Linked DNA regions of Canis lupus familiaris. The protein of the gene in region 1 binds, or shares a complex with, the protein of each later gene. Links are inferred from orthologs where the notes say so. Each region holds a gene or a part of one and is shown on either strand. Other genes may lie near its edges.

Region 1 (3,656 bases):
TTTTTTTTTAAGATTTTATTTATTTATTCATGAGAGAGAGAGAGAAAGAGAGAGGCAGAGACACAGGCAGAGGGAGAAGCAGGCTTCATGCAGGGAGCCCGACGTGGGACTCGATCCGGGGTCTCCAGGATCACCCCTGGGCCGAAGATGGCACTAAACCGCTGAGCCACCAAGCTGCCTGCATCCATTCTTCTAAAAGGGAGAATGGTGCCTCTTAGCCTGGGAACAGCCTGAGGCCATTTGGGGTCCCTTTTAGTCCATCCTTCAAAGAGGTGTCTCTCCTAAAATACTTTTGGCATCAGACGTCCACCACCAGTAGGATGTCCCTGCAAGTGCTTCTAAGATCCCTTATTGCAGGAGGATGAATAAAGTTGCATTAGCAGTTAAACCTGAAGAAACAGACCCAATGTATTTGAATCTGTGTTGTTGTTTTGTCAAGTAATAGACCTGCCATTTGTATTATGGGTCTATTGGGCACAAAATGTTCAACACCCTGAAACCAGTAAGGAGTGGATTCTTCAGGCGTGTAGTAATGTCCAGTGGTTTAAAACTGTTTACAACAGGAACGCCTGGGTGGTCCAGCGGTTGAGCATCTGCCTTCAGCTCAGGGCATGATCCTGGAGTCCTGGGATCAAGTCTCACATCGGACTCCCTGCATGGAGCCTGCTTCTCCCTCTGCCTGTGTCTCTGCCTCTCTCTGTGTGTCTCTCATGAATGAATAAATAAAATCTTTAAAAAATAAATAAATAAAACTGTTTACAACATAGACAACTAGGAGGCGCACCCTGCTTGGAATCTGGAGCTTAGAAGGGCAGCCAGCATAGTAGAATGCTTTTCAACCTGAGGGGAAGTAGACTGAGGAGGGGAAGGTAGACCACCAGGAATAGTTCTAGGTCACCCAAGGTTATAAGTGTTCTGATGGTGCTGTAACTTTTTTCTATTAAGTTGGTGAATCATTGGTAAAATAGAACAAAATCATTGAACTAAGAGTCAGGCAACCTAGGTTCTAGTTCCAGCTTATTCTGTTACCTGTGTCAGTGACCTGCATCATCAGCAAAATTGAGGACTAGACTGGGTGACCTTTGACAGTGTCACAGGTGTATACTCCCCTCCAAACTCTTCAAGTTGGATACATTAAGTTAAATATGTATAGCTTTTGTATGTCAGTTGTACCTCAATAAAGTGAAATAAATAAATACATACAATATCTTAGAACTCTTAAATGCTAGTTGTAGGACTCCTTTTACTAAGACTCAAAGGATTCACTGTAGTGATTCTCTTCTGCAGCTATGCTGTGAGTTTCAAAACTCAGATTTGTGAAATGGATTTCTGAAATAAGGTACCCTTAGTAAAATTTCAGAGTAATGTAGAGTTGGACTGTGTAAATCTGAATTCCAGTAAGTTTCCACCATTACTCACCTCTAGGGACCCATGGCCGCAAGGATGGGGAAGCCACTCTGTGGACATGGGATAGAACAGGCAGTGAGGTTCTTCATGAGATTTGGTGTTAGGCCTTGGACATCAATCTACTACTCTGGCTTCTTTATCATATATTCTTGATCCTTCTTTACCATATGAGATGACTCTATTGTGTATCTAAAATAATTATATAATAATATATCTAATAGCCCTAAGGCTATAGAAATGCAAAATTTGTACATTATTTGGCCTTAAGGATTTTCTTCTACATTTTATTTTACTGAGTGTACTTTAAAATAAAGTAAAAATCTGCAGTTGTACTCCCTGACATGAATGATTTGACAAAGATTTGGGTGTTATGCCCATTTCCTGACTGGGATGTATTTTTGCAATAATCTTACAACCATTTGTACTTTTTAAACTTCTTCCTGAAAGTACTGTTTGTTGATGAAATTTGGAAATTTATTTTTATTTAACTTAGTTTCTTTTTTCCTGCCAGCATACAGCATGCCTCTGCAATGCCATCATTTCCCTGCTGAAAGTTCCTCTTTCATTTCAGAGATACTTTTTCCAGAAACTGCAGTCTACCAGCATCAAGGTAATAATAGCAAGAATACAAAGGTTAATACAGATTAAAAACCCATTCATCTTCTGAAAAATATGTGGAATACAGCTCTGCTTCAGGATCTTACCTTTGGTTTTCATAAAACTTACACCCTTTAGTTATAAGTTTGTTCCTCCCTTTATCAGGTGGTTTGGTGAAGATAATAGGATTTGGGAGTCAAACCTTCTGCACTGGGTGGAAGAAAAGGGTGCAGAAAACTTCTGCAGAAGATTTGACTTCACTAGGTGCAGTGAAATAGATGTTTGGGTACCTGGAGCTCTGTCCCTTGTCTCCGAGAATAATCTGAGAGGTTTTCATCATAGTCCTCTAGAAGGATCTTGTGCTGAGTTCAGGTCTCATTGGGCTCTTTAGACCCTGTTTAGAATAAATCAGGTCCAGTAAAATATTACCAGCCCTACCTGTAGAGTGCTTTTGTCTGTGAATATCAAGTTTTGAGGAGTTGGCCAATGATAAGAGCTAGTATTTGAAAATATTTAAGCCACTCAAAATTCAAGGGCTATTTTTAATTCAGAGAATGGAATTGTTAAGAAAAAATGGAAAACTCTCCTCCAAAAGATTTCCTAGATTATCCCTGTTAGTAAATGTCTTCAGTGTACTTTTGCATATCCATTCGAATGCTTTTGATTTGACCTGAATATAAGGAAAATTGATTATCCTAGAAAAGATGTCTTAAGGTAGGATGTGTGTAGGGTTGGTTGATGCAGTGCTCGAGCATTATCAAAAAGACCCACCTCTTCCATCTTTTCATTTAGCAGAATTTGGACTTTCTGTAATTTAAGGGTACTTGGGATTTTTTTAATATGTTCTTAAATAAAAACTAATGAGAGGTTAAAAACTTCATTTGGTTCATTGGCAGAAATTGAGTTTTCTATCACTGTGACTTGGTCATATGTGTGATCCTAGAATTTTAAGTTCACTTGCCCTTGAATTTAATCTATTTAAAATTACATAGGAACAAAGAGAAGAATAGCTAGACATGCAGATTTATATAGTGCATTTCTCTACTGGAGTTGGTTGTCAAAGAAATGCCCCAGTACAAAAGTGAGGAAGACTAGGGTCCCTCACTGTTTTCTGATCCTCTGTTACCCTCACACAAAACTGGGGTTTGGGGTAGAAAACACAGTAGTATTTAAAAGAGGCATCAGGGAAAAGGAACTCTTGACTTTAAAGGTCTATTTGTCTGGCTGTCCCAGCTGTCAGCTTGTTAGCTGTGTGTGTCATGCTGTAACCTACAAACAACAATTAGCACAAACATGTTTGTTGGAAGAAAGCTTGTTCCTGCTGTTTAACATTCATTTCAATGTCGGTATTCCAGCTTGCTCTGTCGCCATCCCCACGGAACCCTGCAGAGCCCATCGCTGTCCAGAACAACCAGCAGCTGGCACTAAAGGTAGAGGGCGTGGTTCAACACGGATCTAAACCAGGACTCTTTCGCAAAATTCAGTCCGTCTGTCTGAATGTTTCTTCCACGCTACAGAGTAAATCTGGACAAGACTACAAGGTAATTTAGGAAAGAGGCAGAGTTGTGATATGGATTTTATCAGCTGATTCATGGAAGTTTTCCCATGTTTTTCATGGTTAAGCAGACTGTGGTTATACCTTCCAAGGAATA
Region 2 (3,656 bases), on another chromosome or scaffold:
ACATTAAAGGATAATTATAAGTTATAGTTTCAGCCAGTTGCTTAAAAAATGTTTTGATCCTAAAGAATTAGAAATTAAATCAAATAAAAAAAAATAAGTAAATAAGTGGGTTTCTCTACACAAAAACTAGTAGAAGAGAATATCCCTCCCACCCAGCTAACTTTTCTATGTAGTGTAACAGTTCTCTGAAAGCATGAAGGAAGAAAAGAACACTAAACAATATAATTCCTTCAACCCTTAAGGAAAGATTATTTTGGCCAGGAGACTGTTTTGAGATGGTCTAAATATTAATACTATTCTACTATTGGCCTTACAAAACTCACCCCCCAAGTTTTTTATTCATGTAGGTACCTTTTGAGATGGACGATAACTTGAATCAATGCCTCGAGCCAATGATTCATCAAGCAGTGCCTTGAGCTTTTCAGCAGAATCCTTACTCTTTGAATGTAAGAAGCCTAGTGCTTTCAAAAAAATGGGATCAAGTTCCAAGTTCACGGTAGCAGCCATTGCAAACACCTGAAGAAAAAAGGGGAGGGGGGAATTAAAGACAATGAACAGTTATCTATTTTATTCTTTTATTTATAATAGGCAATATTGTGCCCAAGATACAAAATATGAAATGTCTAAAAGGTTATTACAGGAAAAAAGTAAATGTCTTTGTTTTCCCTACCAAATTCTTTTTCCCCGAAGCAAGAACATGATCAGTTTTGTAGGTATTCATATCCATGGCTAAATTTTAAATCCAGATAAACTCTTCCCTGCCACAGAGCCCCCTCCTGTTTTAAAATATACACTTAGAGTTCAGTATACAGGAATTTGATGTGTTTAGGTCTAGCTGACATCAAAATTTCTTCTCTCAAACCTGATTTCCACTGCCAAAAAAAGAAAAAAAAAATTGGTGGGGATGAGGTATCACAGAAGGGCAATGGTTAGAGGAAGCACCAAGTGATGAGCTATAAAGGTCACTGCTACAGCTTTAATTTCAACTATGTATTTTTTTAATCTCCTTAGTCCTCAGCTCCAAACTTGAATGCCTCAGAAAACATTCTAATGATAATCTTATTGGATCACACTTAGATTGTGGTATCTCGTGCATTAACCTATTTTTAGCAAGGTTTCTGAGGAATGGTACCATAACTACTATAAATTATAAATAAAATTATACATATATATTTATATATATGATATAAAATCTCCCCATAGGACCTATGGTAATGCTCTGTGTCATTAGAAGCTTGAAATATAGTGAAGATGTACATCAAAGGCTTATGAAATTCCTTAAAAACAAAACAAAACATTAAAAAGTTTTGTTTTCAGTTAATACCAATGCTATCGTGTGATTCTACTTCTTGTGTCACTTTTTCAAATACTTCTCCAGGCAAGGAATTATTAAAATAAAAGTGTATACTTTGTGTTCAATCCTTTGATCAATATTCTAGGGCTTGAAGTTGTCTTCTATCCTTCAGGTTAATATTGTAATAATGCAACACACTTGCACTGTTAGAGTTATGGATCTGTCAGCAAATTCCACAGTAATCTCTCATTTTCAGGGGTTTATAAAGCCATTAAAACTTGCTGTAGGTTGAATCTTGGCATATGAAAGTTCCGACTGAAAATGAATTTTGTTGTTCCTTACCCTTCTACTTCTCCCCAATTCCTCTACAACTTTGACAGGAAATACACACACATACACACACACACTGACACTCTTACGCTTTTTTTTTTTTTTTTAAAGTTTTCAAGAAAGTATTAGCTACCTATCTGATAGCCTCAGAATAATTGTCAAATTCTGTGCTCTACTAAAATATTTGAATCATTCATGAATCCAAAAGCCAATACTAAAAGAAAAATAACCTATCTCAAATAGCTGTACTAGTAATTTAATGAAAATCGAGACACAACCTCTGTCACTTCTTAAAATTGTATTATTCTATACATCACATATAGATAATAGGTACAGAAAGGTTATTTTTAAATTTACTCAGGTATAGGCTGGTCACTATACATATTCTCAGGAGAAAACAATTCCCCACTAAAATGTCCATGATGAAAAGAATAAACCTGCCATTCCTCCTGAGTGCTCAAGGGGAATACAGCCTAATTTTTTTATTGGCCTAACTTTTTATGGCTAAAGACCATAGTGTTTACTCACCCAGAACAATGTGTTTTATGAGGCTGACCAAAGGGTTAATACTTAGAAGACTCCCTTTAATATGCTAGAAAAATCATTACTTGAAATTCTATGCTGACAACCAGAAGTGTTTACTGTTATGTATTTCCATAATCACATACAAAAGGTTTGCATTACAGATTAGGTGACAAGAGTCAGCATGTAGATTATAAAACTATAGAAGTAGTATCATCACACTAACATTCCAATTGGAACCTTTGAGTCAGTTCTTTTTATACAACCCTGCAATTATAAACCTGAACACGATTTGTACCCATGTCCTAAATTACTAACATGTCCCTCCAACCCAGTGGTTTTCATAATGGAATATACAGGAAGAAAAATGTGAGAATTTTTAATTAAAAAAATAAGCTTTTAGTATGCAGAATGATAGTAGTATATGCATATAATTGGTAACTAACATATATATGAAGTATGCTCAATTTTATACACATGGAATAATGAAACAAGTTTGAAGGCCACTGCTTTTGTCTATCTAGCAACTTCTAGTTTCCCTTTCCCTATTATGTATACATCAAGGCTGCTTTATGGTACATACTACCTTTCCCTTGAGAAGCCACCCAGTACTATCAGCTCAGATCTTCTCTCGCTCCCCACATTAACTTCATTGCTAGCTGCCCATCATCTTCTAGCCCCCAATCATTACCAATATATTCCCCTATTTTTCTACTTTTTTTCTCAAGCGCTCCTTCTATCCTTTTACCTTTGCTATTTCCCCTTGACATCACCTTTTTACCACCATCTCCCAAATGGTGTTCCTTTAACTTTGTATTGAAAGAGCAAAGAGGTCTATGGAGACTTAATTCCATACTGCTGTTTTTGGAAAAACATTCCATGACCACCATTCATCATCATCTTTCCTTGAAATATACACCTGCACCTTCAAAGTTGCTAAGTATGGAATCATGCTCATTTTCTTCCTCTTCCCTATCTTCATATTTGGCAATGCTAAAATTGCATCTATATTGATGATCTTCTCTAGCTTCTTGCACTCAGTTTACTTGGATCTTCAGCCCTCCAGGAGCTTCATCTTCAGCCACTGAAACCTGAAACTAGCTACAACTATTCTCCTTTTTGACTATAATCTTCCATCATTCTATCTCTTCCACTCTTCTGATCCAGAAGCCTCTTCAGGGTACCAGGTCAACCCTCCTTTTGGGTTTTTTGTTTGGTTGGTTTTTTGCCCCATTTCTTTCTTCCCATTCCACCTGCACTTTGAATTTATAGAAGCCTCCAGTTCCTTGTTCCCCCTGCTTTGTCCAATAATGGTACCTCCTTGCTCCAAGTCTTTCCTTCATCACAGAGAAAACAGTAGTTGGGCCTAAAATACAACATTCATAGTTATGTGTTTTATTCTTTATATTTTAGTTTTCTATTTTACCTTCCCTTCACCCTTTTTCTATTGTCTTCTCTGGTTTCTATTCTCCTTTTTTACTGGCAAATGCACACATAATAAAATTTATTT
Region 3 (3,656 bases), on another chromosome or scaffold:
CACTAAGGGTTCCCCTAAATCCATTCTTATTCTTCCCAAACAATATTCCAAACAGTACAGTCGGCCTGTTTTTTATAAAATGCTAATCAGGTCAGGTCACTAGCTCTTCAAAATCTTTCAAAGATTCTCATTGTCAAGACACCTGCATGGCTCAGGGGTTTAGTACCAGCCTTCAGCCCAGGGTGTGACCCCGGGGTCCTGGGATTGAGTCTTGCATCGGGCTCCCCGCAGGGAGTCTCCTTCTCCCTCTTGTGTCTCTGCCTCTCTTTGTGTGTCTCATGAATAAATAAAATCTTAAAAAAAAAAAAAATTCTCGTCTTTAAAGTCTAGAATCTTTACGACGGCCTCCAAGGCCCTCCATGATCTGGCCTCAGCCTATCTTTCATTTCTCACCTTATCTGACTCTGAACACCTCTGCTAAACTGGAATTCTTTCAGTTCCTATAATCTTCTCTTTTGTATATTTGTTTGCACATATTTTTCTTATACTACTACTGTAGCATATTATAGTGCCTAGCATACTGCTTAGCACTACTACTAAATGCACAGCTTTAGTGAAACAATTCCCATTCACCCTTTAAATGTTGGCTTAAACATAACTTCCTCAGTAAAGGGTCTTGACCTCACAAACTAAGTTAAATCATCTTACCACCTTTTATAACATTCATCACATTCTAACTCAACATTCAATGACTATCTTTCCTCACTCATCATAAAGGCAGAGATCACTATTGTCTTGTTCACTATGATACCTCAATGCCTAGCACTGTTCATAATAGCACGTGTATTTAATAATTAGTTGATTGTTTTTTTTTTAAAGATTTTTTTTTTTTATTTACTCATGAGAGACACAGGGAGAGAAGCACAGACACAAGCAGAGGGAGAAGGAGACTCCCTGTGGGGAGCCTGATGTGACACTTGATCCCAGGACCCCAGGGTCACACCCTGAGACGCTCATCCACGGAGCCACTCAGGTGCCCCTAATTAGTTGTTGAATTAACCTGAAATTGAAAACCATCTTTCTGTGGGTATTGCTAATACCCCTTTAATAAGTGTTATTTTGAAATACTTAAGACTTGTAAACGGTATTTTGAATTTTTTATTTAACAGACTTATAAATGGTATTTAGATTATGGCTAGCTATAATAAAGCATGATAAACATAAGAAATGTCCAACAAATGTTCTTTAAAAAGACATACAAAATGATCACATGCTAATTTAAAATAAACAAGTATCTTCTCTAGACACTCTTGGGCTTTATCAATCAATTTCTTCCACAATCTATTACAAAAATCTCATCCCCACAAAAGAAACAAAAAGCAGCAAATAAAGTTTGTTTTTAAATTCTTACCTTTATGAAGAGGAAGGGGTTTAATAAGATCTGGCTGTGCTTGAGTCATCGGTACAGGTGGTCCTTTTCCTCCAATATGATTGTTCACAACTGGATTTTGTTGTCTGCCTCTTAGTAATGGGGACATACAGCGACGTCTTTTAGGGATTCCTTGCATATTTGGTTCTCCAGGTCGTTTATGTTTATTTTGAGGTCCAGCCACAAATTCATCTGCTTCATCTATCATCATACCCTGTAACAAAAAAATATATAATTTCCCTAGATTTACATACAGTTTTTAAATGGTACAACTAATTCCAATCCCCATTAGAGCAACTGTATTATAACTATGTTGACATTTATTAGTCTACCAAGAAAAGTAGCTTACTTTAGTTAAATTAAGAACTGTTAAATCCACAAATGAATTATACAATGGAACATTTCAAGTTTACCTTCTTATCTAGCTTAAAGGGGTTGCCAAATGTATGCAACCTTCGAGGCTGATCAGGATCAAGTTCTCTTAGTGGAGAAGGTACTTGCTTGAGGTATTCCTGGTAATTCCCCATTTGTGCTATAGGAACACTGTGCACTTGATCTTTTCAAACAGAAGAGAACAACAACAAAAGTTAACCTCACTATTCATATGTTGTCATTATAAATATTGTGACTAAAATGAAATCTTTTTGAGATTTTTTTAAAGTAAAATTTAAAAGAATTGACTTTATCTTCTAAAAGCAAAAATATTGTAGTCCATTTGAGTGTATAAAATAAGTAATGATGTGTTAACATTACCATGAATAGGAATGTCTCTTCTCTCTATTCCAAAGAAGTAGAATTATAGCAAAATTTACAGGAAAGACATACACAGAGATAATCCTTTTTATATAAAGCTATAGTTGGAATGCTTATATCAGAGATGGCAAAGAGTTAAATTCTCATCTGACTTGATTTGTACTACATGCTACAGATATTGTTGAAAGAAGAGGACACGTATTGACCATCCAAGCTAAACCACCAGATACTAACTAGTGTATCACAAGAAAATGATTTTGTGTGTGCATGTGAATGCATGAACTAAGCCAAAGAAAAGAAAGTAAGCTGCTAATAAAGATTGTCACCTCGGGGGAATAGAATTTGAGGCAACAGTGATGATAGAAAAAAAAGTTGAGAATCAGAGATGACTCCTTACTTCATTTGTTTGAATTTAAAAAGAAAATGTAATACTACTAATAATTCTTTAAAAGTTATATTCCCATACCATATTTTTTCAATATAAAGTAAGAAATTCACAAAAAAAATACCATTACTAAAACCATGATCTAACCTTCATCCTGTCCTTTAAGAAATCTGCGGGTGCTCTTCAAAAGATTAGATCTCATTCTTGTTAAGTGATCCAAAAGATTCCGCCTTGGTATGTCATATGCATTTCTAAATGTCTGTGGCTTCAAATCCTGTTGAAAATCATTCAAAGACAAAATTTATTTCCAACATAGAATTAAAAGAGACTAAAACCTCTAGCCTGCAGCATAGGTTTTGAAATAAGATATATTAAGTCTAATTAGCTTCAAAATAGAATAAAGAATTATGATGCCATCTAAACACACCTGGGAACCAGAAGATCAAAATTGGTAATGAGCTTAATCAAATACCTCAAATTCACATCTTTCAAGGTTTTATTATATATTCAGGCTAAGAGAAGTAAATAGCTTATAAAACAAATTTCCAAATTTTAAAACCTTTGAAAGTTTAAAGAAGAAACACAGCTTTGACGTATCATTCACGTACAATAAATTAACCCATTTTAAGTATACAGTTTGATGAATATCAGCAAACAGTTGTGAAACCATCACCACAATGCAGGTTAAGAACACTTCCATCATCCCCAAAAAGTTCTTGGTGCCCATCTGTAGTCAATCCCTTTTCCTATCCCCAGGCATCCACTAATCCTGCTTCCTGTCTCCCTACATTCCATTTTATAAGTGGAATTTTGCTATATCAAATCTTTTCTATCAGGCTTTTTTCACTAAGGATGATATTTTGAGATTCATCCAGGTTATTAATGCATCAGTAGTTTGTTCTTTTTGACTGCAGAGTAGTATTCCATTCTATGAACACAGTTTATCCATTTTCCAGTTTATGAAGTTTCCTTTCAGTTTTTGGCTATTATGAACACTGCTATGAACATTTGCATAAAAAGCCTTTCTATGGCTATTGTCTTCGTTTTTCTCATGTAGACAGATACACCTTGGAGTAAAACTGCTGGTTATATAGTAAGTATAGCCATTCTAGTGGATGGGAAGTGGGATCTCACTAGTTTTAATTTGCA

Evidence for each region.
Region 2: INTS7 (region 1) and INTS12 share a complex: the UniProt entries of both Homo sapiens proteins name them as parts of the integrator complex. The link is inferred for Canis lupus familiaris from reciprocal best matches to the Homo sapiens genes INTS7 and INTS12.
Region 3: INTS7 (region 1) and INTS6 share a complex: the UniProt entries of both Homo sapiens proteins name them as parts of the integrator complex. The link is inferred for Canis lupus familiaris from reciprocal best matches to the Homo sapiens genes INTS7 and INTS6.

What each region holds. Positions count from the first base shown.
Region 1 is NC_049228.1:10,099,575-10,103,230, reverse strand, and holds part of INTS7 (integrator complex subunit 7), read left to right. Parts: intron 1-1,918; coding exon 1,919-2,017; intron 2,018-3,359; coding exon 3,360-3,545; intron 3,546-3,656. UniProt on the Homo sapiens protein: Component of the integrator complex, a multiprotein complex that terminates RNA polymerase II (Pol II) transcription in the promoter-proximal region of genes.
Region 2 is NC_049253.1:13,355,097-13,358,752, reverse strand, and holds part of INTS12 (integrator complex subunit 12), read right to left. Parts: intron 873-3,656; 5' UTR 799-872; intron 517-798; 5' UTR 508-516; coding exon 352-507; intron 1-351. UniProt on the Homo sapiens protein: Component of the integrator complex, a multiprotein complex that terminates RNA polymerase II (Pol II) transcription in the promoter-proximal region of genes.
Region 3 is NC_049243.1:595,044-598,699, reverse strand, and holds part of INTS6 (integrator complex subunit 6), read right to left. Parts: intron 2,782-3,656; coding exon 2,655-2,781; intron 1,926-2,654; coding exon 1,783-1,925; intron 1,584-1,782; coding exon 1,352-1,583; intron 1-1,351. UniProt on the Homo sapiens protein: Component of the integrator complex, a multiprotein complex that terminates RNA polymerase II (Pol II) transcription in the promoter-proximal region of genes.